Callithrix jacchus: one gene and its partners. The protein of the gene in region 6 purifies or fractionates together with the protein of the main gene of each other region. This does not show direct contact. Links are inferred from orthologs where the notes say so. Each region holds a gene or a part of one and is shown on either strand. Other genes may lie near its edges.

Region 1 (4,033 bases), on a different chromosome or scaffold from region 6:
GTCTGACCTTGTCATAGACTGTGGATGACTGTTTTCCCTGCAACGTCTCCACCTCCGAATAAATAGTCTCCATCACTTATTAGCCATATGCACTTTGGCAAATTGCTTAATCTACCTATGCCTCACTTTCCTTATTTGTAAAGTGGAAATAAGAGTACCTACCTCATAGGGTTGTGTGATTAATGATGCGACAAAACCGTGCCTAGGATATGAAAGTGCTCAAAAGTGTTACATTATTATTATCATTACTGTTACTGCCTTCTCACGAACATACTCTTTGTATGTTCAAGCTGTTATCTCTACTGGAAAATTCTTCATTTCTAATACTCTTTCCAAAACCCCCTCCTGGGTTTTCCTGCACCCACAACTGTGTACTGACATTATTGAATGATTGGCTTATGGGACTGAGCCTTTCTACCAGACTTAACTTCTTCAGGGCCGGAACTCTGATACGTAGTAAGTGGTCAATAAAAGTTGGCTCAACTGAAACCCTAAGGTTTCAGTTAAACTCCATCCAAGGCGAAAGGCGCGGCCCCGCCCGATTCGGGGGCGGGGCGGGGAGCCCTGCACGGAGGGTGGGCGGGTGGGGGAGGGGTGGGACTCTTTTTCCTCGCCGTGGCGGCGGAGGCGCACGGCGTGGGCTTGCGGCGAGACGTCGTCGTCGGAGGCTGAAAAAGCCCAAGGTGCTGCCGTTGCCCGTACTACTCGGACTTGCTGTGGCCCGACCTGCGTCTGCACGGGTCTCGGACCGAGCGGAGCCCGCAGCCTCGGTCCCAGAGCCCACCCTGCTCTCGGTCCTGCCCGGCTTGGGGTGATGGAGCCGGCCACCGCGCTGCCCCCGGGCCCGCGCCCGGCGCTGCCCCTCGGGGGCCCGGGCCCGCTGGGCGAGTTCTTGCCTCCCCCCGAGTGCCCGGTCTTCGAGCCCAGCTGGGAAGAGTTCGCGGACCCCTTCGCTTTCATCCACAAGATCCGGCCCATAGCCGAGCAGACTGGGATCTGTAAGGTGCGGCCGCCGCCGGTGAGTCACGCCAGCACCCCGGATCCAGCTTGCGGCTGGGGGAGGGAGCGGGGACGCGCGGGGCCTGGGAGGCCCAAGGCGCGGGGGGTGGGGGAGCCTGTCGCCCCTCCGGCCTGGTCAAGTTTGGGGCTGCCTAGAAGGTTGCATTTTGAGGCTGGGGGAGGAAGACGGCGGCTTTTCCAGGGTCGGAGATAAGGAGCGTGGGATAACCGGGGGCTTTGGCGGTGCCACTGGAGGGCCGGGTCGCCGCGGGGCTCAGGCGGCCGGGAGCGCGGCCGGGGCCGGGGATTCGGGTTCGGTTCCGGATGGAGTGATGGCAGGAGGCGGGGGTGGTCGCGGGGGAGTTCCCTCACGGAGCCCAGCGGAGGCGCGGGCTGGAGGGGAGGACTGTGGGCCCGGCGAGGCTCAGCAGGCTGGTCCTCGCCTCCGCTCCCGGGGTGCGGGGGTGTGTGATGGGGTGGGGGTGGGGGTGGGGGACTTGCGAGTTGTCGTGCGAGGAGGAAAGTTTTCAATATGGCGGCGGGAGCCCCTGGTCCTTTGTGTGGTGGCGGCGTCGGCCCGGAGCGGCCCTCACCTGGGCGCCCCACCCTCCAGACCAGGGCACCCCTCCACCGCCTGGTCCCTGGGCCTCCAGGTGTCACCCGGGCCGGGGTCGAGAAGGGGGCGGCCATCGCTGGCTGGGGGCGGGGAGGAGCCGCGGGTCCGGCCCCGGAGCGGATGTGTTGTGGGGAGCGTTAGTGTCTGGGGGACACTTTTGGGGCGGCGGGGGCGGGACGGGCGGCGGTGGGCCCCGTTGTCCGCCCGCGCTCCGGAACGCGCACACACCCAGCTTCTTCTGGCCCAGCCGCTGGGCTCCCCAGGGAGGCCTGGGCTGTGCTGGTGGGGACGGGGTCGGGGCGAGGCCGTGTTTGTAGGGGAATGTCAGACGAAGAGACCTCCGAAGATTTCGTGCTCGTTTCCCCCGGCCCTCAGCCTCCTGGCGCTGAAAGGCAGTCACCCACCGCAGCCCTTCCAGCCCTGTCTGCAGCGACTCGGACCTGGGGGCAGTGAGCGAGGGGTGGGTGTTGCTGAAACCATCCCTAACGGCTCCAACGTTCGCTGAGGAGAGCCCGGCCAACTCCTTCCCCCGTGGCCGGAACTGGGTGCGCTCCTACACCTCTGGTTTTTGCCCACCTTTCGGGACGGTCTGAGTCCGAGTTAGCCTAAGCGGCGGTTGGACGGGCTGGGGCCGTTGGGAAGGGGGTTTAACTGCCTTTCCTACTGTTTAAGAATCTTCTCCCCACTCTCCTCCCCTCGCCCCCCTCTCCTAAGTGGAGGAAGACCCCCTCCCAACCCTTCTCCCTTAAGCATGCTCTTTGTAATGACATTTTGAGTTGTGGGGATTCTGTTTGGAATCGTTATGTTTTGGAAAGCTGTTTTCAAGGGAGATCCCTGAAAATAAGGCTTCTTATCCCAACCCTTCCCCACCCCAAATTAAAACATGGACGCCTACTTTAGTTTTTCTTAAGCAAGTTTGAAAATGGAGGTGAAATATATGCTTCAGAAAATAACTGGCCAGGGAATATAAGGGAAATATTTGAAAATAGATCAGTTTCTTACAGCGAAGTGGGCAAGGTTGATTCTTGCTGCTTGCGGGAAGTACGTTTTTGTAGTGCAAAGAGGGCTGCAGAAGTTATAACAGGGCTGGTTGGAGCTGAGGTTTTAATTCTTGAGTAATAGGTCATGTTTCACACAGTAGCAATGTTGCTTTATGTCACATGCTAGGAAGGATGAATATGAATATTCCACATTTGCATTAATTGGATTTTATTCAGAATTTGGGTAACTTGACTAAGTTCTTAGTAACCAAAATGAGGGGAGTCAGGTTCCTGGGAGGTGTCCTCCATGTTGGTATTGTGGTGTACCAGGGCTGGGGTAAATCCTTTATCTTGCTTTCTTGTTCTTTGCCTTTTAGAGGGCCCTTTTCCTGAAAAGATAGTATTGCTCTGGTTAGGTTTGGCTACCCATTTCCTCATCTTGGCTAGAATATTAATGGTAATCTTTGCAAAATGTGTAATTGAATTGCCTTTTCCCCACTCTGAATGCCAGACAGACATGATGGCCACCATTTTGTATTGAGAGTACTACATAGTACAGCCTGAGGAAAGGGGTTAAAGAGGCACCAGTAATCTACAAATACAACCAGTGCTCTGTTTTGGAGACCTCCTTTGTGTGGAGGGGGCTTGCTTCCTCCTTTGTTTAACAAACTCCTATGCCAAATGGAAAGAGTTTGGGAGTATTTGTTGTTGATAAAACCACAAAAAGGGAAATCTTTCTAGAAGTTGTGCTCTTGAAGAGGGGTCTTGTTGGAACAAAGGCTTCTTAAGAGATGTAAACAGTCTTTGTTTTAGAAACTGTTTTGTTTTTAGGAAAGCTAACTGTGAACAAGTGGTTTCATATAGTTGATATATAGCAACAAAAAAGATATGAAATATTTTCCATGGTGATAGCTGTATAATGTCTGCATTTCTGGAGGATTTTTGTTAACTGAGTTTTTGGAACACAAATGGTTATATTAAAAGGGGAATTGGGACTATTGGTATTTTACTCGTTAGAAGGTAAGGGGAAGTATAAAACATTTCTGTCTCCTTTTGTTCTTAACCTTTGTAGCTTTATGAAGGTACTTACTATAGCTTCAGTTTATAGCTGCTTTCTCAGTGAGGCTCCCAAACTGCTTGGCTTCTGACAAGGTGCTTACATTATTTGGTACGTGACAGCTTAGGGATTCTCAGAAATTTGAAAATATAGTAAGCTAAATGTGAGAAAACGTAATTAAGTCAAGAAGACTATACTTCAACTCGATTGAGTTTGAAGTTTAATACAAACCTTTGTTTCAAATTATATCAACTATGTAGGATAACTAGGCTTGTTTTCTGGACTGAGACCTTCCTAAATTTGTGAGTAATCTGGCTTCTGGTTTTGTCACCTTTAAAATGCAAATTTTGATTTCTTCCTCAATACTGTACTTAAGATGTC
Region 2 (3,500 bases), on a different chromosome or scaffold from region 6:
TGAACTCTCACCATGCCCTAGGATGTCCTATAGAAGCTTTGAACAAGCCCATCTATTCTGGGCTCCTTTTAATTCTTCTAATACAAGAAGCCCACCTCAGTGTCTTCACACTTTCTCTTCCCTCAGTTAGCTGCTGCTTCTCGAAGCTCTGCTCAAGCAATACAATCCAAGCCAAAGCAGCTTTTTAATTCTTCATATTATTCTATCATATCACTGCATTTGGTTGCCTTCTTTGCACTCATCATATCAAATTACAATTAATTTGTTTACTTGTTTACTGTGTATTTCTGTCCCTTAGGAAGGCAGGAGTTTTGTGTTTTGTTCATCACTGTAACTCCATATGTCTAGAAACAGTGCCTTCTACACAGCAAACACTCAATAGGCATTTGTAAAACAAATGAACAAATTAAAAAAGAAATCTTTAAGATATACACAAAACAAGTAAGGGAAAGTAATGGATGGTCCACCAAACAAGGCAAGAAATATTCTACTGTTAGTATTTGCAGCTAGACAGGCTGTGCTCGTGTTATTGGAATCTATTATCCAACAAGCATCAAAAGTGTCCTTCTCAAAGCTCAAAGCCAAGTAGAATGGTTTCACACGCTATATGCTAGTCCACATTATATCACTGCAAACAATCATTTTAGAGAATTCTACATTTCTTACAGTCCCCCCAAAACCTGTAATGTATACAAGTAGTAGTAAAACATATTTAAAAACACCTGCCACTTTATTAAAAAAATAAAAATACTATGACAGTGGTACTTATCTGTAAATGATTTAATTTATCCTCAGAAAACTTCAGCCTTTTAAAGTAACAGGTCCTCCCAACCTAAGACGTAGGTCTTTAAGACAGGTCTGACTAATGTTTACAACATTTAAGAAGCCACCGAACTCACTGTTCTTTTGGAAGTAATGCTGCCACTCAAAGAAAAACCATATAAAACTCATTAAAAAGTGAGCAGCCTCTTTTCACCCAACTGATAAAAGTTTTGACCAAGGGAGGAGAAACCATAGGTTGCTACTATGTTAGTGGTAGAAAAAGCTTCCATTCTTTATTCAAGTATCATTCAATCACAGAAATGAAGATAACATACAAATTTAGGCAACGAAGATAATAAATCTAAGTAACTTGTTAAGCTTGATTCAACCTTCTCACTGTTCAAGATAATGATTTCTAAAACAAATCAGCTAATAAAAACAATTTATACAACAAGGTTAAAAACAGTCATATTTTAATCATCACTTTTTACAGGCGACTTGAACACAAATTCAGTAACTTTCCCTCAGATTCCTTTACACAATTTGATCATCACACTTGGGATCTAACAAAACTTACCTTGGTATGGTAACACATTTAGTATTACAGTTTTGAGTGGTGATGGCTTTCTCAAGCTCATCTAATCGTCCTGTTTTCTTCAGCTTCTTCACCAGACTTTTCACTGCTTTCTCACACCACTTTTCTTCCTGCCCATTCTGCTCTCCTCCGCCTGCTCCTCCAGACCCACCAGCTGACTTCTTCCATCCCAGCAGTCTCTTCACAACTGGCGGCGTGAATGGCAAGATGGACGACATGTTCTTACCAAAGGCAGCAAGCCACGCTAGGAAAACAGCCTCTTGTATCGAACCTAGCAAAGATATTGAAAGGATCATGTAGAGACTAACTTGAATACCAAGAAATAATTTCAACGTATCATAGAAAGCAAACTGTAAAACCAGACAGAAATTCAAATTATGACTTTCCCAACAGATTTCCCAACCCATGAAAAAGTTATCTTTATGAATTTAAATGAATTATGTAAACAAACTAGTCTAAAAAACAAGCCAATGTTATAAGGACTTGTCTTGTGGGCAAACACAGTAATTTTGCAAGTAAAATCAGATACTTCTAACAATGTTTCTCTACCAATACTAAACTCTTAAAATTGTCAATTAAAATATTTTCACAAAAAAAGGTTTTCTCACTTTTTAGAACTTTAATCTACTCTCAAAAGACTATACAAAAATACATTGAAAATTTATAAGCCCACTCTCCCCCAGGTTTTAAACTTTCGTAACTACCAGGAGGCAAAATCTATAGTTACAAGAAGGGAAAATGCATAAACTGTGAAAAAATCAAGAACAAAGAAATAAACACGGCAAACTGCAGAGAAAAGCTGTAGTCCACTTTCACCTGCCCTTGAAAGAAACTTTTTATACTTTTTTCATTTTCATCTAAATTTGCTTAGTGAGTAAAGTTAGAGGGTTTCTCTTCCCAATTTAAGGAATAACCTGTCTTCTCCACAGGAGTCATTTTTATTAAGCTGTTTTGTCTATTCAGTGTCATTTTACAAATATAAACATGGTCACATATCTATCCACATTCCCACCACCTTATTCCTACATAAAAGTAGCATAGCATACCTTGATTTTGTATACCTTGACATTTTTTTTTTTTTTGCTTAATTTGCTGTAAGTCATTCCTTATAAGTTCACACAGAATTTAGAAAGCACTGTCCCCTCAACTTCCTAGAATCCACTACTGATAAGTCTAACATAACTTTTATTCCTGATCCTTTGATTAAAAAGTGATTTGCTCCAGAATCTCTTAATATCTTATCTGTGGTTCTGAAATTTCATAATGTTCTAAGAGGGTATGCAGTGTTTATTCTTTTTCTCATCAACTGTTCTGAGCACTTAATTGATACTAAAATTCTATGAGTCTTGTTTTTATTATTTCTTTGATTATTTTCTTCCCTATTTTCCCTGTAGTCTCTCGTGGAACTTAAGATTTCAGCCTTCTAGTATTGCTGTATCAGTTAAGACATTTCTATTTGTGATTCACATTCCAAGATCTGAGTAACCTCTCCTTCCTCTAGTGTTTCCGCTCTCATTCCTTACCTCTTATGCTTTTCTTTCTTTGCCAATTTTAGTGAGATATAGAAAAAAGGAAAATATGTGTTCAATCTGCATATTTAATAAAGTTCCCAAAAGCATCCTTTTTAGAAAGTAAAGAGGTCTTTACATCACACACCCCAAATACTGCAACTGCAGTTTTCAAAGTGTATCTTTATGAATACAATCATGCTTACATTTTCATGAGTTTGTTCCTTAATAATAATGATCAGACAACAGTTTCTAAGCACACTTTGCATATACTCTTAACATTAAATAAGATCCAGCTGGGTGTGGTGGCTCATGCCTGTAATCCCAGCACTTTGGGAGGCCAACACGGGTGGATCACAAGGTCAGGAGATGGAGACCATCCTGGCGAACATGGTGAAACCCCATCTCTACTAAAATACAAAAAATTAGCCAGGAGTGGTGTCGTGCAACTGTAGTCCCAGCTACTCAAAGCCTGAGGCAGAGGAATCACTTAAACCTGGAAGGTAGAGATTGCAGTGAGCCGAGACTGTGCCACTATACTCTACCCTGGCAACAGAGTGAGACTCCACCTCAAAAAAAAAAAAAAAAAAAATCCTAACACAAGATGAAAAGTTATTCCCCATCAAAGAACTGGC
Region 3 (3,500 bases), on a different chromosome or scaffold from region 6:
CTAGATAGGTCCAGTGGGCTGGGGGTAGGCAGAAACCTCACCACACGGTTCTGTATAGGTCTGTATCTGCCCCAGTGCCAGTGAGTACCTGGGACACAGTTCCCCATGTAGATACTAGTGGAATGAAGGACAATACATTCTCAAGGCCAGGGGCTGGCAAGAAAAGTTCTTTCTTGAACTCACTCCACACCAGTGACCCTGAGAACCAGTGGCCCCACTCACTGGACAGTCCACAGACCCCGGGGTGGCTGCTCTCATCTCTACCCACATTCTACTTGTGACTGATATAGGCATGTCCCCAGGAAGGCTTTGTCAGCACAGCCCCCTGGCCCTGGTCCTTATTGGCATCCCCAGCCATGGCCAGACTCCTCTGGCTGTGGGAAGGGGTCCACTTCATGCTGCTGGGGTTACCTCTGCATCCTGCTCTCCAGCTGGGAGGCCAGCGAAGTTGCTGTCTGGAGACTCCGCTGGCAGCCCCTGCAGAAGAGCACAGTTTTTACAGGTCTCCCATTAAGCTCCTGACAGCAAACCCAAACCTTGTTCAGTACAAAATTGGTGTCAAATAGGAGGGTCAGAGCTAAGGGAATGCCTTGTTTTCTGTGGCACTCCAGGCACTTTGGGGGGCTTTGCTGCCATGAGTGGCAGATCTTTGGTTATGCTACTTTGGACATGTCTGCAAAGTACAGAGAAGCCAGGGTGGTTCCCGTCCTTTCCTTTACCTCTCCTTCTTCTGAAGGGGCCCTGCTGGCAGCCCGGGGGGAAGGGAGAGCCTCTCCCTCCTCTTCAGTGCCAGGGGCGATGTAGGAGCCAGACATGGAGGAGACGGTGTCGGTGCTGATCTGGGACGATGCCATGGACATGACAGACTGGGCCAGACTGCTGCTGGTGCTGGCAGGGCCTTTGGAGACAGGGGATGGAGGAAGGAGCCTAGAGGTCAGGCAGGGCTTCTGCAAGCTTTCTGGGGAGCAGAGCCCTCTCTCTATACTCAGGCAGTAAGGAGTAAAGTGGCCTCCCCTAAAATTGGTTTTAGGTTTAAGGTTTTCCAAAATTCTGCTCCTTTATATTTTAGAGCTCAGAACTCAGCCTCGAGGACAAGACATGTGCTTTTCCCTGTCATAATGCTAAAGGAAACCTCATGACAGCAGGACTGGAGCTGAGAGAACTGACACCCCCTAGCTACAGGCAAGCCCACTAACCCATGGTAGGAAAGCAAGTTCTCTTCCCTCTCAAGCCAGGGCCTACCTGTCATGCTGCCCAGGTATTAGCTTGCCACTCCCATGTCCCTTCCCGGAGGAAACGCCAGGACACTGTGGCTGGGTAAGGGGCAAGGACATGCAGCCGCTCCCCGCTCCTCATGTACCTTCTGGGGAGGAAATAGTGGACGACAGAGGCGTCCCTGTGCAAGACGACTGGTCAATAGCTCCAGATGATGACAAGGTGAGATTCTCACTTTCTGGAGTCACACCACATTCCTGGGGGGTGTGGGGGACACAACAGACATGGAGCAAGCGCCAGTCACCTGTGCTGGAGGAAGGGGTCAGGGCGGAGGTCTGGGTAGAGATGAGGAGGAAAGGCGACACTGGGAGGGACTGACTGGCCTGCAGAGGCCGCAGCTTCTCTCTTCTGTCCTCACTTCTCAGCCCAAGCCTGGAATGACTGCCTCCCAGGGGAGGCACACACTTCAGTCAACATCTCCTGCCCAAGGCACAGCATCTGCTGGGGCCATACAAAGACTGCAGCTCGGGTGACACAGGTCACCCAGCAGCTGTGACATGGGGACACCCCAGGTTTCCCCAGGATTATGATCAGCTTTCCTTCTGAGGCAAAAGCATACAAAGCCAGCAGATGCCTCCCTGCCTGCAGGGTATCTTCACACAGAGCACAGTTAACTCCTGCTCAGCTGATTTCTGATACAAACACCACCTTGTTCCCAGCCTGCTGCTCCTCACATGCCCCACCTCCAATCCCAGCCCCCACCTGCCAGGCATCTGGGCGCACAGCCTGACCCATCTGAGGCAGATGCAAAGTTCTTCAGACTGTGTCTCCAAAATCCCTTCCCCTCCCTCCAGGCACTCCTCTGTTGTCTTAGTTCAGGCGATCCTTCTCGCCTCGGCTACTGGAGCCCTTCCCTGGCTGAGTCTGTCTCCTGTCTAGTCCAGAGTGCACGCTGCAGTCGGGTGGGCCTTTGGGAAGCGAAGTGCTCACCATGTCCCTGCTCAGAGCCTCGACTTCCTGCTCTGTGCCTTTGCATGCACCACCCTATCCACATGGATGTTTCTCTCACCTTTTTCTCCTTGTCTAAAAAACTTCAAGGTTCAGCTAAAATGCTACTCCTCCATAACACATGTTCTGATCTCTTCCACTGATCTTATCCATCTCTGACACAGAAATTTATTGACTCCGTTTTGGGCACAATTCTTTTCTATAAAATTTACTTAGTCATTTAACAAATACTTACTGAGCAACAACAACGTGCCAGGCACGTGCTATTCCCATGCATCTGTCCTGTCCCAGCTAGACCTGAGCACCCACGGCCAGGGACCACTTTACCTTTCTATGCTCTGCTCTATCTAGCTCAGTGCCCGACACAGAGGAGGTGTATACACTTTTGTTAAATGAGGTCTATGTGGGACACACAGGGTAGACAATTCCAGCCTTCTTCTTCCATTCCTCAACACAGGCCTCCCAGCAGCCCCCAATTAACCCCAGGGCTTTCCACTTGCTGTTCCCAGGCCTATAGCCCTCTCTCCTCCTATATCTGCATAGCTACTTCTTCCACATCCCTTGGTCTTGGCTCCTGGACCACTTTTTAAGAATGGTAATCCCCACTTCCAGCTGTGACACTCCCTTCCCTGTTGTGTGACATGCTGATCCACAGTACCGTCTGGCACATGTGTATTTTTTTACTTATTGTCTTTTGTGTCCACCACCCCATCCCAGCCAGCAAGAATATAAATGCTACGAGGGCAGGGACTTTTGTAGTTCCCCAGCTCCTATCCTCAGCATATAGCAGAGTGCCTGGCAAATAATACAGGAGGCATACACTGATGAATGCATGAATCTAATGAAAGCTTTGCCGCTGCCTCAGAGGGTGTTGAAAAGGTGTTTGATGAGTGAATGAGAGCAGAGGGACCTGATGAGGCATGCAGGTAGGAGGAAAGTCCCTGGAGTACAACACCCAAGAAAAGGAGAGGAATGTCAATTACCTCTCCGAGATGCTGAGCTGACAGTCTCTGAGAGAGCTGTGTCTCCGACTCACTGCAGGAACGCTCATCTTCCTCTTCAGGCAGCACAGAAGAATTTTGGGAAATGGATCTGTAGGAGTCCAGAAGAAAAGCAGCTGTATCCAACATCCGTTTAAGAACAGTACTTACTGTGAGGAGAAACTGAGGGGAAAACCCAAATCTCTTTTGTTTGCTTATTTTTTGAGACAGGGTCTCATTATGTTTCCCAGGCTGGACTCGGACTCCTGGGCTTCAGCAATCCTTTTGTTGACATTT
Region 4 (4,127 bases), on a different chromosome or scaffold from region 6:
TGTTGGCCAGGATAGTCTCAATCTGCTGACCTCATGATCCAACTGCCTCGGCCTCCCAAAGTACTGAAATTACAGGTGTGTGCCATGTGCCTGGCCGAGGGGAGCTTTTAAAAAAAAAAAAAAAAACTGACCTTGGTATAACTTCGCCTCCCTTGACTTCCAGGTTTAGTTGATCTGGAATTAACCCACGTTTTCTTTCTAAACTTCCTGAGTGAATCTAATGTGCAGCCGGGGTTGTAATTGCTGGTAATTAGTTCGTTTGGGTCATGATTCCTTCCTGTGTGTTTATCTCATCCCCCATTCTATCCTCATTAAATAGGAGCTCCACCAAAGCACACATATTTCTTTCCTCTCAATTTCTCAAACGCTCAACCCAGAAATCTACAAATAGTGATTATGCAGTACGCAGATTCTAAAGATGCCAAAGAGCAACTAAGACATAGTTTTAATCCAGCAAAGGGGACACCCCTGTGCTTCACACTCCAATCCACATTCTTTACCATGGAGATAGAGACGGTCAAGAGGTGCCCCAGGAAAAGCTTACCCTGTTTCATGGCGTGCTTCTCCTGGAGAGCTGGTTGGATTTTCTCCATCTGCTTGGTTAGAAAATCTATCTTCCTCTTGAAAAAGTCCTTGGCATCCTCAGCTGTCTGCAAGATCAGAGGTGAACGAGGGGCTAAAAGGAGATACCCTCTGGCCATGTTGCACTCTAGCTCTTCCCTAAATTTCCCTTCCCTGTTCAGAGGGGCATCCACATGCTCTCACTCACCTTCTCTACATAGTACCCAGTTCCCACATCGATGAGCACGTGCTCCACATCATGCAGCTTCCCAGGGACATACATCTGAGGAGCAAGTATTAAGGGAAAAACTAGCCCAGCATGAGCTGTGATTCTGCAACCCAGCCTGCTTGGCCTCTAAAGACCCTCGTTTTCCAAAAAGCTACAAGGCATAAGGACTGAATAATCTGGAGGCCTTAGAACAATATCTATAACTCCAAATGGAAAGAAGACAGAAGTTGGTTCTTTATGGAGAAAATGATGTATGCTGGAACACTCTCTTGTCCTGCCTCATCCCATCTCTCACCCTCTAAACAGTTCTTGCAGTTCTTCCCATTAGCCCCTCCAGAAAGACTAGATATGTTTTCCTACTGTTGTAGAGTACAAGTGGAAAGCTAGCCTCACTTCCCTTAACCCCCTCAATCATGAAGTAGCTAATTCTTGATGAATTTTTATTTTATTTTTATTTTTGAGGTGAAGTCCTGCTCTTGTTGCCCAGGCTGGGGTGTAATGGCACACTCTCAGCTCACTGCAACCTCCACCTCCCAGGTTCAAGAGATTCTCCGACCTCAGCCTCCTAAGTGAGATTACAGGCATGTGCCACCATGCCTGGCTAATTTTGTATTTTTAGTAGAGATGGGGTTTTCCCATGTTGGTCAGGCTCATCTTGAACTCCTGACCTCAGGTGATCTGCCCGCCTCAGCCTCCCAAAGTGCTTGGATTACAGCTGTGAGCCATAGCACCCAGCCATTTTTTTTTTTTTTAACGATTCCCTACTATACTATTCCTGTGTTCTTTTTAGCCTGTCAGTTCTCAGACTACAAAGGTGCCGTATTGCCATAACTCGCTCATTCAAGTAAGACATTCAGCAAGTGGACACAATCCAGGTTCCTTAGTGACAGTTTAGGAATGAGCCACAATTAAGCTGAAATTGAAGATTAACAGTCAACATACCTGTTTCTATATCCTCCTATTTTGTCTATTGCCTGTGTCTTCTAAGTTATTAGCAAAATGTAAACCACCAGCTTTATCTCCATATTAATGTTCTCAAACAGCAAAGGGAAATATTACATCTCAACTCGACATACTCCTTGGTATTCACAAGGCATTAGCTGGATGTTGGTGTGAAGTTAGATATAAGAGCTACATAGTGTGTAGTAAGAGTATTCTCAAAAACGTTGCGGGGGAGGGGAATCTGAAGTAATCAAAACGACCCTTCTCCCCGCTTTTTGGGGGAGAGTGAGGGAGAAAGGGAGAAGGCAGCAGGTAGCCGTTCCTGTGGAAAGGATACAGAACTCGTCAGTGGGACGAGTAATTCTTTCCCTGTGAAAGCAATGAAGACAAACACCTGGGGAAGGTTAGCGGCTCCAACGTAAGACATTAAAGAGAGTTCCAACAGGGGACAGCACCCACAGACAGTGTGAAAAGAACGGAAACAGGGGCAACAGGAGCAGAGGTATGTCCTGTACATTTCAATTTTAGGTAGGCAACATGCAAAGGGTTCATGAAGCGGCATACGAGATGTAATGGATTTTCTCGTTTCAGTTAAGAAAAACTGGATTAGGAAGTGGGACGAGAGAAGCTGGCTCGCCACTTTAGGTTGCCCTCACCCGCCTACCCCATACCCTCGTTGCTCTTGTTCAGCACGTTCAGACAGTCCTTGGCTTCCACATACTTGGTCTGTACCACTTTGAGCTGGGCAATGGACGTGGACAAGAACTCCACTTCCTACAGAGGACGGGAATAGAGTCAATGAAAGGGCTGCGGGGAGAAGGGAGCCCGGCCAGGGAGGGGGCGGATCCTGGGATCGGATAGAGGTTTCGCCTGGGAAAGGCAGGCTCCCAACTTGGAACGGGGAGCGAGGAAGTACGCATGGGCAGGGGGGATGTAGAGCAGGAAAGAGGCGCTTCTGGGGCTCGTCCCACCTGGTCCAGCTGGTTTTTGAGCATTTCTAGCTGCGGCAGATTCAGCTCCGTGATGTTAATCGACTGCGCCATGTTGGGAAGGAGGACTAACGAAAAGGAAGTCCCTTGGCGAGCAACGCTCTAGCAGTCCTCTGCGCGTCTCTATGGCGCCAGGAGGCCTAGCTGCGCCAGGCTGCTCTATGATTCTCCGTCCCGGAAGGGAAGGGGGGGCTTGAACCGGTCAGAGGCTGAGCTGTGCTTTGGTTTCATAAAACATTCTAACCCTAGCACGGTAAAGTTGCGGCAAACAGGACTCCAGCCCACAAGGAACTTCAAAATCTTAAAGTCCTCACGACACAACCACGATGTTATAAAGTAGTGTATGCTACTCCACATGGGTGGTATAAGCTACTGACAGGTCTTCAGTTCTTTGGTCCGAAGTAGCATCTTGAAAATGGTGCTTTGAGCAGATGAAGTGGAAGGGAGTCTGGAGATGGAGCGAACAGCAAGGAGGCACCATTGTCAACCAAGTACAGCACAAATTAATCAAAATGTTTTGGCCGGGCACTGTGGCTCACGCCTGCAATCCCACCACTTTGGGAGGCTGAAGAGAGCGGATCGCTTGAGCCAAGGAGCTTGAGACCAGCCTGGGAAACACGGCGACACCCCGTTTCTACTAAAAATACAAAAATTAGCCTGGCTGGTGGTGTACGCCTGTAGCCTCAGCTACTTGGAAGCCTGAGGTGGGAGGATCGCTTAAGCTGGAGAGTTTGAGGCTGCAGTGGGCCGTGATTGTGCACTCCAACAGAGCCAGACTGTCTTCGAAAAAATAAAAAAGGTTCTACCATGTGCTATATGGCAGGGATACGTGAGAGTGTAAGATACTTGCTTCCCTTGAGGTTAACAATTGGAGAGAAAAACTTCACGATTATAACTCCACAGATCCACAGAATCTACTGCTAAAGTATACACATTGGTAAGTGTGACAGCTGTACATGAGCAGACAGCAGTAGCCTTTAACATCTACTTAGGAGTCAGGCAGGGCAACTGAGGCATTAAAACTAGTGCTACTCCCAGGGTACCTGAGGCAGGAAGACAGGATGGACGGGTGGTACCTGCCCCATAACACTCTCAACGGGTCAATGATTACCCTTCCTTGGGCTTATCTCTACTTAGCATTTTGATGCCCCTTTCTCCTCCAGATTGTCTGCTGAGGCCCAGCCAGGCCCGGTAGGCTTTGTCCTGTCTTTGCCTTTCTTCCCCAGGCTCTCAAACTTGATCTCCTGTGAGCTGTTCCCATCAGTTTACAGTACCACAGCAGGAAGGGGGCAGTTATGCAGTATCTGTTTTTTTTTTTAAGACAAGTCTCATTCTGTCGCCCAGGCTGGAGTGCAATGACACAATCTCAGCTCACTGTAACCTCTGCCTCCTGGGTTCAAGCGATT
Region 5 (3,500 bases), on a different chromosome or scaffold from region 6:
CTCCCTTCTACCCTGGCCCTGCCACTGCCCACACTGCAGTTTCCACAAAGGACTCCGCAAAAACAGCTGTGTCACTGCAGGGTAGAACAACCACTTTTTAAAGACACAGTTCTTTGGCTGGGCACAGTGGCTCATGCCTGTAATCCCAGCACTCTGGGAAGTCGAGGTGGGTGGATCACTTCAGGCCAGGAGATCAAGACGAGCCTAGGCGACACGGTGAAACCCTGTCTCTACTAAAAATGCAAAAATTAGCTGGGAGTGGTGGCACATGCCTGAAGTCCTAGCTATTCAGGAGGCTGAGGCAGGAGAATCACTTGAACTCTGGAGGCGGAGGTTATAGTGAGCCAAGATCCTGCCAGTGCACTCCAGCCTGGGCGATTCCATCTCAAGAAAGAGCAAGATTCCATCTCAAGAAAGAAAAAGACAGTTCTTAGAGCAGACTGAGGTGCAGCGGCGGTGACTCACCTAACACTGCCCCCAAGTTCCTTGGTCACATGCTAAGACTGTGCTGACACCTGCCAGAGACCAGAGGGAGATCATCCAGTACACCCTTATCTCAGGCCTGATACTGGGCCTTAACAGACCCTTCAAGGAGACATTGAGTGGCACATGGGACACATTCATAGATACACTTTCTAAATTAGGGTCTCACCTTAGTATGAGCAGGATACATTTTCCAACAAACACCAAGCACTAAATATTCAGGCAGACGTCCTCTTCTAACACTCATAAGATTCCACCACTGCCCTCATATCAATAAACTTTCCTCTCCATGCCCAGTCATGGAACCTGTATAAGCCGGGGGCCCGATACCCGTATCAGTGAGGGTCTGCTTACCAGCCCCTCTGTCTCCTCTGTTGTCCTCTGGAAATGTGCAGCCAGGACCATATAGTCCCGCATCTGCTTGTGACATTCAAGACACTTGATTGAGTACCGGATGAGCCTCACGGGGTCTGGGTAGAGCGGCAAGGCTGGAGGAGGGGGGCTGGCACTGCCCGAAGTGAGGCCATGTTTGGGAGAGGATGAAGGGGCTGGGGCTGCTGGTGCCGTGGAGTTCACAGGGGCCGACACAAACATTTGGTCCGCAGAGATGGGCTTCACCAGCAGCTGGGAACACTGCATGACGAGCCCCTTGCTCTTGTGGTCACGGGCGTGCCGCAGTAGGCTGCACTTGTTGAAGAAGAGCAGCGTCTTGGAGCACAGTGTACACAGTACCTCAATGTGGACGCTCCGCCGGCCATAGTGCTGGCTCAGGCTCTTCTCTAAGGCAAATGCATCTCCACACTCCAGGCAGCAGTACCCACTGGCCGGCACGTGGATCCTGCTGTCCGCAGGCGGGCTGAGATTTGGCGCATAGAGGGGCACGGGATTGGAGCTGTGGAGGACCTTGTTGAAGACCTCTACAATCAGTGGGGCAGCCTTTTTCACCTGGTGGACAAGGGGCACCGACATTTGCGTAAGCTGTGGCTGACTCCGTCTTTGCGCTGAGGACTTGGCTGTCACTGATGCAGCAACACTGTGGGGGACGAGGTTCAGGTTGGCCAAGTGTACGGCTTTGGGCAGGAGGTTGGCAGGGGCCAGGGTAGAGGCCTGCAGTGCTGTATTCTGTTGCTTCTTGCCTGTCTGTGTGCCCGTGACAGCCCCCTTTGGGACCCGGGGCCCAGAACTACCGCAGGGAGATGAAGAGTCACTGGCCTTTGACATGCTCTCGTCCCCTTTCCTGTCCCCCTGGGGGCTCCCTGAATTTGTGCCTGCCTCAGGAAAGTGCTCTTCCACAGGCACCTCCTCCCCTGGCACCTCACTTGGGGCCTCGGCAATGGCGCTCCCTAGAGGTGACCCAACAGGGGACTTACTTGGATCATCAGGATCTGGCAGGATCCTTGTGACAGTCCGTTTGATTTCCCCTGATGATGTCTTAATGGTTTTGATTCTCACTTTGGGAATTGCTGGTGGGGAGCTGGCAGCCACAGACGGTGAGCCTTTGCTGCTGCTATCACTACAGATGCTACGAGGGCTGTCGGATGGCTTGATACTTTTTCTAGTGGCCTCCAGAGGGCTCCGGGGACTCTTTGGTGACTTAGGCATTTTGGGGCTACCTTTAGAACCCTCTCTAGTGGGCCCTGAGGGACCCTTTGTGTGGCCAGGCTGATCCTCCTTAGTGATACTAGCCACTCTTTTGGCCTGCAAGGCCACCAAAGCTGCCACACAAGAGGACAGCTTGGAATGAGCTGGCTTTAGACGCTGCCTAGGGGGGACTGATGAGCAGGTACCAAGCTCCCGGGCAAGCCCCTTGGACTCTCCAATACTGTTGCTAGGATTGCTGTTAAACTCCAAAGCTTCCCCAAAGAATCGAGTGGCATCCAGATCTTTGTGAGGTTCCACTGCCTTCTGCCCACCTCGCTCGTGTTCCTGCTGGCTCTCCAAGGGCAGGGGTTCTGGCTTGGGTTCTTTCTTACAAAAATGATCAAACATATGTAGCTCTGGGACTGGAAACTTAGCCAGAGCCTCCAGGACTGGACCCCCCACAGCCCCGCACCCAAGAGGGGATGAGAAATAACTGTCAGAGTGTTTGGGCTTTATCCCAAATCCGTTATCTTTGATGGAATCTTCAGGTTCTGGGCTGGAGATTGGACTGAACTGATTGAAGGTGGGTAATGGCTCTGACTTGGGAGGCTCCAGTTTGCCAGGGAAACTCCTGGCACTGTCTCCATTCATAAAAGTAGAATCAAATTTCCCACAGTTGTGGGGATCTGGAGGCAGATCTGAACCCCGGAATCCATTGTGTAGGAGGCTGGGAGTAATGTGGTCTTTCTCCGCTTCAAACGACTCCTGGCGGCTGGTGTTCTTGACAATGACACTCACCGCCGGCACATCAGGGGCTGATCCTGAGTGAGACAAGGACACACTTTCATCCATACAAATGCCTGGAGGCTTGAGGGGACTCTCATTCTCCTCACTGGGTGTCTGGATGGCCTCCTTGGCGTCAAGGCTGGTGGGGTCTGGGATGTCAAAGGCAGCCAGAAGGTCATCAAAATCTGGGGTTTTCATATCCCCCATGGCTGGATGCTGGAAAGGGCTATAACAGAAACAGAGAACAGAATCAGTGACCACCACGGTCCCACTGGACCATCTTCACTATACACTCATCAAACTAAGGCACATACAGTCAGCACACGCATGCTGAACCCCACATACTATGACAGGAAGCCACACACCTCAGTTTTACCCCAACAGGTTTCTAAAATGCTAGAGAGGTGGGGCAGAGATGGAAAAAGTAGTGAGATATAGCAACAAGCCTGCCTGGCAGTTCTTAAACCTCAGTACCTGGAAATTGATGGCTGGTTACGTAGCCACAAAGAGTACACTCCTACCATACTCCCTCAGCTTCTCAGGGAACATCATCCCTCCATGATCACGTGTACTAGCAAAAAAAGCCACTCAGCACTTCATCCTTCAGAAAACTACTGATTCATACATGAAGCCTGGCTATAACTTCCTCT
Region 6 (3,051 bases):
TTGGGAGGTCAAGGCAGGCGGATCACCTGAGGTTAGGAGTTCAAGACCAGCCAGGCCAACACGGTGAAACCCTGTCTCTAAAAAAAGACTCCGGGAAAAAGTGATGGTTATGGTCTATTGATCACAAGAGGACAGGCAGGGGACTCAATGACCAGTATCAGAAGAGGAAAAGGCATGTGACCAACAGGGAAGGTGTTAGGAACTTAAGGACACCTGAGCTCCAGCTCCTGCCCAGCCCAGCTGAACCTGGCCCTGGAGCTATTACCATTAGGGATCTCCGTATCCAGGGCCACAGCTGTCTCGTACGTCCAGCATCGGGCGACATTACGAATGGTGTAACCACCTCCTCCCAGCATCAGCATAGGCAGGTTAAAGCTCTTGACAAATTCCACACACTTGGCGTGCCCTTTGGTGGGAGAAGGGGTGCTGAGTTATTACAGGAGTACCAACCAGGACCCCGCCCACCCATCCTTGTGCTATCTGGTCTCACCTTTGATGGTCAGATTGAAGCAACCTAACCGATCCCCAGATAGGGAGTCTGAGCCACACTGTAAGACCACGGCACTAGGCTGGAACATCTCCATTACTTTGGACATGACCTAAAATGATAAATCCTGGTCACCACCAACCTCAAGAAAGCAATGTGAGGTTTGGGATGGAAAGGCTGGGTGCAACACTTTCTCCCCCACTCCTACCTTTCCGCTCTCCCTCATGCTATATGGGAGAGAAAAGCGAGTACCAGGCTGGAGCTCTTGCTTCCCTAATCCAAGACCCTTCTTACTCTACTAACACTGAACCTAGAATGGCCTCCATGTCAACTCCCTAAATCTCTTCTTCTATTGCCCAAGCTCTAGCGCCACTTCCTCCAGGAAGCCTTCCTGACCCTTAGCCGGATCTACTCTACTCATTTGGTCTTACAGACTTGGAGCCTTACATTATGAGCAAGCACTCTTGGTTTATCTTATTTTCACAACCAGAGTCTAACATTAATGAGACAGAGACCATAACTCCCACTTCTGTAGCCCTTACTAAATACTAGGCACACAGTAGGGAGTCAGTGTTTGCTGAATGACTACCTGACCTTATTAGGTTAAACAGTTTCTTATTGCTTATAAGTGAAGATTTAATTCCTCAGCATGGCATTCAAGGCTCCCTTTGAAACACTGAGCCCAGCATACACTTCCCATCACCTCCTTCAGCATGCCTCCCACATACCACAGTGGCCTACATGCTGCCACACTGGCATATCTGCACTTCTGCTGGTGCTGGTCCTTCTACTGAATGCCACCCTTACTGCTGTCACCTCCTTCTTCACATGGGTACCTTCTCGTTTTTCAAAGTCCAGCTTAAACATCACCACCTCTGTGCAGTCATCCCTGACTACCCTCCTGCCCGCCCAGGCAGGAGTCTATCTCTCACTCCTCTGACCATCCCTCAAAAACACAGGCACTAGGCCAGCCTGCCCATGGAACAGGCCAGAGAGCCTTTCCACAATCTCTGAATGGGCTGACTGGTGAAGGGCTTTCCCAGATAAAGCCAATCTGCAAAGACTGGAGTAAGTCCCTACTTCTTCAAATGTGCAGACATCAGTGTAAGGCAACGAGGAACATGAAAAACCAAGGAGACATAGCACTACCAAAAGAACACAATCATCTCCCAGTAGCCCAGAGAGACAGAGACACAAAACACTACTAACCACAGACTACTGGATATGTGCCTGCCTTTCCCACCATAGTCCATGAGGGCAAAGATCATGTCTTAGATATGTTTGTATCCAGCAGAAGACCTGACCCATAGAAGGAACCATCAAATATGGATGTTTGTTCCCCTAACTGACCACACAGCAATCCAGGGTTCAAACACTTCTATTTCCCCACCAGCTTTAGTAAGGAGAGATTCCTGAGGTATCATGGGGGTGTTCTGCTCCCCTGCCCTAGACCAATCCCCTTTTTGTAGCCCAAGGAGTGCATAAAGCCACTTACCGGCTTGAAAATGGCCTCATAGGACTCGTCATCAATCCCATCTCGGAGCGGGTAGTTAACAGCATAATACTTGCCTTTGCCAGCCCCGATATCCTAATTAAGAAGGACATGAAAGTAAAACTAAAGGATGAAGCTTAAAGGAAGGTCAGGGATGCAGGCTGGAGGGATAAAGGAAGAGGTTCTAAGAGAGATAAGCTAGGCCCATGATGTGGGCCAGGACAGAACAGGGGTACCTTGTGAGTACCATTCTCTTCACTCACCAATCTAGCTCACATCTCTAGACATAGCATTAAGCCTACACCTAGGCTGAGAGCTACTGATGGGCGTAGAGACTGAATACCCTACCCTGTGGCACAAGATTTCTACCTTGGGATTGGGTTAGGGCTGGCTGGCAGGTGGGCCACAGAAGTAACAACCACCCCTGACAACCCTTTCCACTCCAGAGAGCCCTAATGCTCACTCCTCTTCCCCCATGCTCCCTCTCTAGGGTGGTGTGGAGGGAAGGAGAGAGAAGAAAGTCCTTCCCAGGAACCTCGAAATAGTGAATGTGCCTGTAATTCTAGCACTTTGGGAGGCCAAGGTGGGTGGATAACTTGAGGTCAGGAGTTCAAGACCAGCCTGGCCAACATGGTAAAACTCCATCTCTACTAAAACTACAAAAATTAGCCAGGCATAGTGGCATGCACCTATAATCCCAGCTATTCTCAGGCTGAGGCATAAGAATTGCTTGTACCCAGGAGAAGGGAGGCAGAGGCTGCAGTGAGCCAAGATCACACCGCTGTACTCCAGCCTGAGCAACAGAGCAAGATTCTGTCTCAAAAAAAAAAAAAAAAAAGTGAATGTTCATTTATTCTAATGCTTGCCATAGCAAACAACTGAATTAGTGCCACTTTTTTACCCAAGGGTCACTGGGCATGGCAAACAGCTGATTTCACTGCATTCATGCTAATAGAAGCAGATGGAACAGTTCAAGGAAGTAGTTTCCACGGATTCTTATCCTAAGGTTCATGGATGGGCTTCAGCAAGGGGACTTGTTTATTAACTATTCCATATCAGATGTAAAATTGCA
Region 7 (3,500 bases), on a different chromosome or scaffold from region 6:
TGTACCATTTGATGAATCTGATCCTGGTGCAACTGAAAATATTTGTTGATTCTGCAAATTCTGAAGGGGAAGAACATACTGCCCACTTGAAGTAGTAGCACTTGGAATCTGCACTAGATTACCAGCTTCATCTTTTATAGTTGTAGGTGTGGCTGACAAAACCTCCCATCGGTTTGGTGCTCCTCCTAACTGTGCAGAAGCCAAATCACCTGTCTGGATGAAGAAAACAAAAATGTGATATATTTGTGGTATATTTAAACGAACTCTCAAAACATTCTAAAAACTGGTATAAATCCTACTACCTGAAAATTCAACTTATCTTCAAATACAGTAAGTACAGTACTATGTGAACTACAATAATTATCACTTCCAGAACAATTCCAGAATTGTTCTGCAAAAACAATTCATCCTATTTGAGTGGAATAAAAAAAAATTCTCAGCATGTTCATCACAACCACCAACCAATCTTCTAATTCTGTGTCTATGACCTCTAACACTGTACAGTTTTAAAAAAAACAGCGAAGTTGGCTATGACTGAATCAGGTGTGTTATATTTGCATATAAAAAGGAAACAGCATAGTGTATTGTCATCGAGTTAGAAAAGATTTATTCATTATTGCTATAAACTTCAAATCAAACAATTAAATCTACTCCTTTGTGGCATGTATTAACATACTCTAAAGTAAACTCATGGCTAGGACTATTCTATCAGCAAGCTATCAAACTCTTTACTTTTTCTGTGAACTATTAAAAAATAAAGACCTTAAAAAAATTTAATGAGAAAAGGTCACTGCCCTGGGACCACATGACCCACGCAGCCCCATTTGAAAGGTTTCTCTAGAATCAGAAGCTGGAGCATACAGACTGTGGCTCTACCTACTATTCTAAATTTGCAGTAGAATACCTGGCATATATTTTTTGTATTCTGGTATAAGCCTGGCATTATCCTGCAAACTTAGAATAGCAGGTAAAGCAACAGTCTGTATGCTTCTGGACCTGCTAGAAGCTCAGTTATCATCCCCACAGTTTATGGATTAGACAAGACTGGAAAAAAATCCAATGTAGAAAAGCAGAAAGCAATAAAACCCTACAAGTCAATGCCAAGAGTAGTTTTTTTTTTTAGGAAAATAATGGCAATAATATTTAATATTTAAGCTTTTATATGCCAAGAACTATGAGAGAGATTTAGAGGATTATGTAATTTACTCCTTAAAACGATCCTATGAAATCGTTTTTATGATAGATTTTATAATAATAGATATTATCCCTATTTCACAACTGAGAAAACTGAGGGACAAAATCACATAGCTATCAAACAAACAAGACAGGATTTAAAACTAGGCTAAACTTGACTCCAAAACCCAGGCCCTTAAACACCATATCATGTCTGTGTCATACCTTCCCCCAAGACCAATAGCAAAGACATAGGAAATAAGACCTATATAATTTACTATCCAAATAAAGCCATCCTTCTCCTACTTCTTTCTAGATCTATCCGTGAGTTCAGTAACTCCCCAAATCATAAGACAATGGAAACATAAGTTTATCTAGCCCAGCACTGTCAACCTAAGATCCATAATTGGGCTTCAATTCAAGGAAGCCCTTTAAAACAGCATGCCAACATTTTGATAAAATATTAACACAATTTGAAAGGGAGAAAGAAAATCTAGGGTTTCATCGAATTCTCAATGGGAGTCCAAAACTATAAATATCAGTAAAGACATATACAGTTCTCCCAACATAAACCATTCCATAAAACTTAATGCAAATATGATAAACAAAAAAATCTTCAGTTAAAGAAACTCACTACCTAACTCTCATGAAGACATAGTAGAGAAGTATATACAATATTTCAGTGAATGAACCACAGTTAAACGACTCAATTAAAACATTTGAATATAATTTACCAAGATGAAATACACATGTGAGTAAACCATGACATACAAGTCCTATCTTCAAATGGTTCACTGTAAATCCAAGCAAATATATCCATGATAATACAATGTGAAAAGTAGCATATACTAGTCATATGATCAAACACTGCGGAAGATACAAGACTGAAAAAAAAAAGATTTCATTAGCGATATTTTAAACTAGTATTAGAACAAATGGTAAGATTTTACTATAGTCAATTAAAAAAAAAGAGGCATTAAGAAAGGCATAGAAACAAAATCACAGACAGAAAGAAACCCTAAATAATAATACACAGTTTGGAGTTGAAGACAAGGTCACAAAAAGGCTCATATTCAGAGAGAAAAGGGGAACAGGACTAGACATTTTTATCAAGGCTTGTAAATGGCTTCACAGATCCCACTAAATTGTTTGGACTTTATCCTGTAGATAGTGAATGAAGGTTATAAAAGGTTTATAAGCAAGTGAGTGGTGCAATCACATCTGTGTTTTATAAAGATAAACTAAGTCTCAGTAAAGGAGACTGAAATGCAGAAGAGACTAAAGGCTGAGAAACTGTGAGACCCAATACAAATCTCTAGGCCTGAACTAAAACAGTAATCTGTCTTACATACACTTAAATTACACTAACTAAACTATTTTAAAATGAAGCATCAGACATTAAAGTCACATGTCATTCTGCAACTTCAATCTGGTATAGAAATTACAAGGTTAAGTTACCTTTCCTAACATTACAGTGACAAATCATGCTTTATTTCAGTCTCTTAACACTTTAAGTAAACTACAAATATTTAAATCTATATATTAAAATCTACACTAAAGTGTCTAAAATCCAATCTTTATCTTAAGGTTATTGCTCACCTGGAGAATCCACTGAAATTTTTTTCTGACTAGCATTAAATTTACAAGTATTGAACTTTTATCAAAGAATACAGCAATTCAGACACAAATTAATTTTATAATACTGGCATTTTGTCCTGTTTCCTTTCTTTAAAAAAAAAAAAAGTCAAATTTACAGCATCTAAAATTTTTGGATTTTTTTACAAAATAGTAATAAAGGCAGATATTCAACCAACACTGAACAGCTTTCAAGAAATTCCTTGAAAATAAAATACAACTACTCAAATGACAAATCTGAGTAAATACTGCCCAAGTCACCCAATCTCCAGAAACCAGATAAAAATAAACTGTAGTTCCATTTATCCCAGCAAGTTAGGCCATTAATTGAAGGAAAATCTCCAAACCTAGAGCAAAGTGATGTGTTCAGAACTTTTCTGAATAAGCACGAAATGAAAAGCATATAAAATACCTGTGAAGCACAAAGATGAAAACAAAAAGCAACAGATAATTTAAGTAAAAGAATCAAGCAAGAAAAGGGACTTTTTTAAGGTAATGAATTTGCAGTTTAAAAAAAATGTGCTAAACACCCTATTTTCTAAATGGAGGAAAAAAATCAGAAAACTACTAGATAATTTATGCTAAAAATATGCCTCACAGAGAAGAACATATTATACTAGAAAGAAAAGAACTCAGAACTGAGTTCTAGTTCTGACTACAATGTGGAATTGTGTGAGATCAACTCAATTTCC

What was found.
Region 1: the proteins of HDAC1 (region 6) and KDM5B purify together in Homo sapiens (affinity purification with western blotting; 3 studies listed by BioGRID). This does not show direct contact. The link is inferred for Callithrix jacchus from reciprocal best matches to the Homo sapiens genes HDAC1 and KDM5B.
Region 2: the proteins of HDAC1 (region 6) and SMAD2 purify together in Homo sapiens (affinity purification with western blotting; 5 studies listed by BioGRID, with this or other methods). This does not show direct contact. The link is inferred for Callithrix jacchus from reciprocal best matches to the Homo sapiens genes HDAC1 and SMAD2.
Region 3: the proteins of HDAC1 (region 6) and RNF157 purify together in Homo sapiens (affinity purification with western blotting; 3 studies listed by BioGRID, with this or other methods). This does not show direct contact. The link is inferred for Callithrix jacchus from reciprocal best matches to the Homo sapiens genes HDAC1 and RNF157.
Region 4: the proteins of HDAC1 (region 6) and PFDN5 purify together in Homo sapiens (affinity purification with mass spectrometry; 5 studies listed by BioGRID and IntAct, with this or other methods). This does not show direct contact. The link is inferred for Callithrix jacchus from reciprocal best matches to the Homo sapiens genes HDAC1 and PFDN5.
Region 5: the proteins of HDAC1 (region 6) and ZNF592 purify together in Homo sapiens (co-immunoprecipitation; 3 studies listed by BioGRID and IntAct, with this or other methods). This does not show direct contact. The link is inferred for Callithrix jacchus from reciprocal best matches to the Homo sapiens genes HDAC1 and ZNF592.
Region 7: the proteins of HDAC1 (region 6) and SP3 purify together in Homo sapiens (affinity purification with western blotting; 6 studies listed by BioGRID). This does not show direct contact. The link is inferred for Callithrix jacchus from reciprocal best matches to the Homo sapiens genes HDAC1 and SP3.

Annotation. Positions count from the first base shown.
Region 1 is NC_133520.1:29,841,675-29,845,707, reverse strand, and holds the start of KDM5B (lysine-specific demethylase 5B), read left to right. Parts: upstream 1-1,233; 5' UTR 1,234-1,331; coding exon 1,332-2,075; exon of another isoform or gene 2,076-2,160; intron 2,161-4,033. UniProt on the Homo sapiens protein: Histone demethylase that demethylates 'Lys-4' of histone H3, thereby playing a central role in histone code. Does not demethylate histone H3 'Lys-9' or H3 'Lys-27'. Demethylates trimethylated, dimethylated and monomethylated H3 'Lys-4'.
Region 2 is NC_133514.1:90,992,860-90,996,359, forward strand, and holds part of SMAD2 (mothers against decapentaplegic homolog 2), read right to left. Parts: intron 1,629-3,500; coding exon 1,340-1,628; intron 1-1,339. UniProt on the Homo sapiens protein: Receptor-regulated SMAD (R-SMAD) that is an intracellular signal transducer and transcriptional modulator activated by TGF-beta (transforming growth factor) and activin type 1 receptor kinases.
Region 3 is NC_133506.1:132,058,446-132,061,945, forward strand, and holds part of RNF157 (E3 ubiquitin ligase RNF157), read right to left. Parts: intron 3,316-3,500; coding exon 3,207-3,315; intron 1,551-3,206; coding exon 1,361-1,550; intron 899-1,360; coding exon 720-898; intron 478-719; coding exon 412-477; intron 1-411. UniProt on the Homo sapiens protein: E3 ubiquitin ligase that ubiquitinates APBB1 for its degradation by the proteasome and thus prevents apoptosis and promotes survival of neurons.
Region 4 is NC_133510.1:66,256,658-66,260,784, forward strand, and holds the start of PFDN5 (prefoldin subunit 5), read right to left. Parts: upstream 2,801-4,127; 5' UTR 2,776-2,800; coding exon 2,704-2,775; intron 2,507-2,703; coding exon 2,404-2,506; intron 2,102-2,403; coding exon 2,070-2,101; intron 845-2,069; coding exon 770-844; intron 651-769; coding exon 545-650; intron 1-544. UniProt on the Homo sapiens protein: Binds specifically to cytosolic chaperonin (c-CPN) and transfers target proteins to it. Binds to nascent polypeptide chain and promotes folding in an environment in which there are many competing pathways for nonnative proteins.
Region 5 is NC_133507.1:23,624,020-23,627,519, forward strand, and holds part of ZNF592 (zinc finger protein 592), read right to left. Parts: intron 3,077-3,500; 5' UTR 3,058-3,076; coding exon 838-3,057; intron 1-837.
Region 6 is NC_133508.1:68,943,347-68,946,397, reverse strand, and holds part of HDAC1 (histone deacetylase 1), read right to left. Parts: intron 2,076-3,051; coding exon 1,983-2,075; intron 600-1,982; coding exon 491-599; intron 407-490; coding exon 266-406; intron 1-265. UniProt on the Homo sapiens protein: Histone deacetylase that catalyzes the deacetylation of lysine residues on the N-terminal part of the core histones (H2A, H2B, H3 and H4).
Region 7 is NC_133507.1:55,497,108-55,500,607, reverse strand, and holds part of SP3 (transcription factor Sp3), read right to left. Parts: intron 214-3,500; coding exon 1-213. UniProt on the Homo sapiens protein: Transcriptional factor that can act as an activator or repressor depending on isoform and/or post-translational modifications. Binds to GT and GC boxes promoter elements. Competes with SP1 for the GC-box promoters.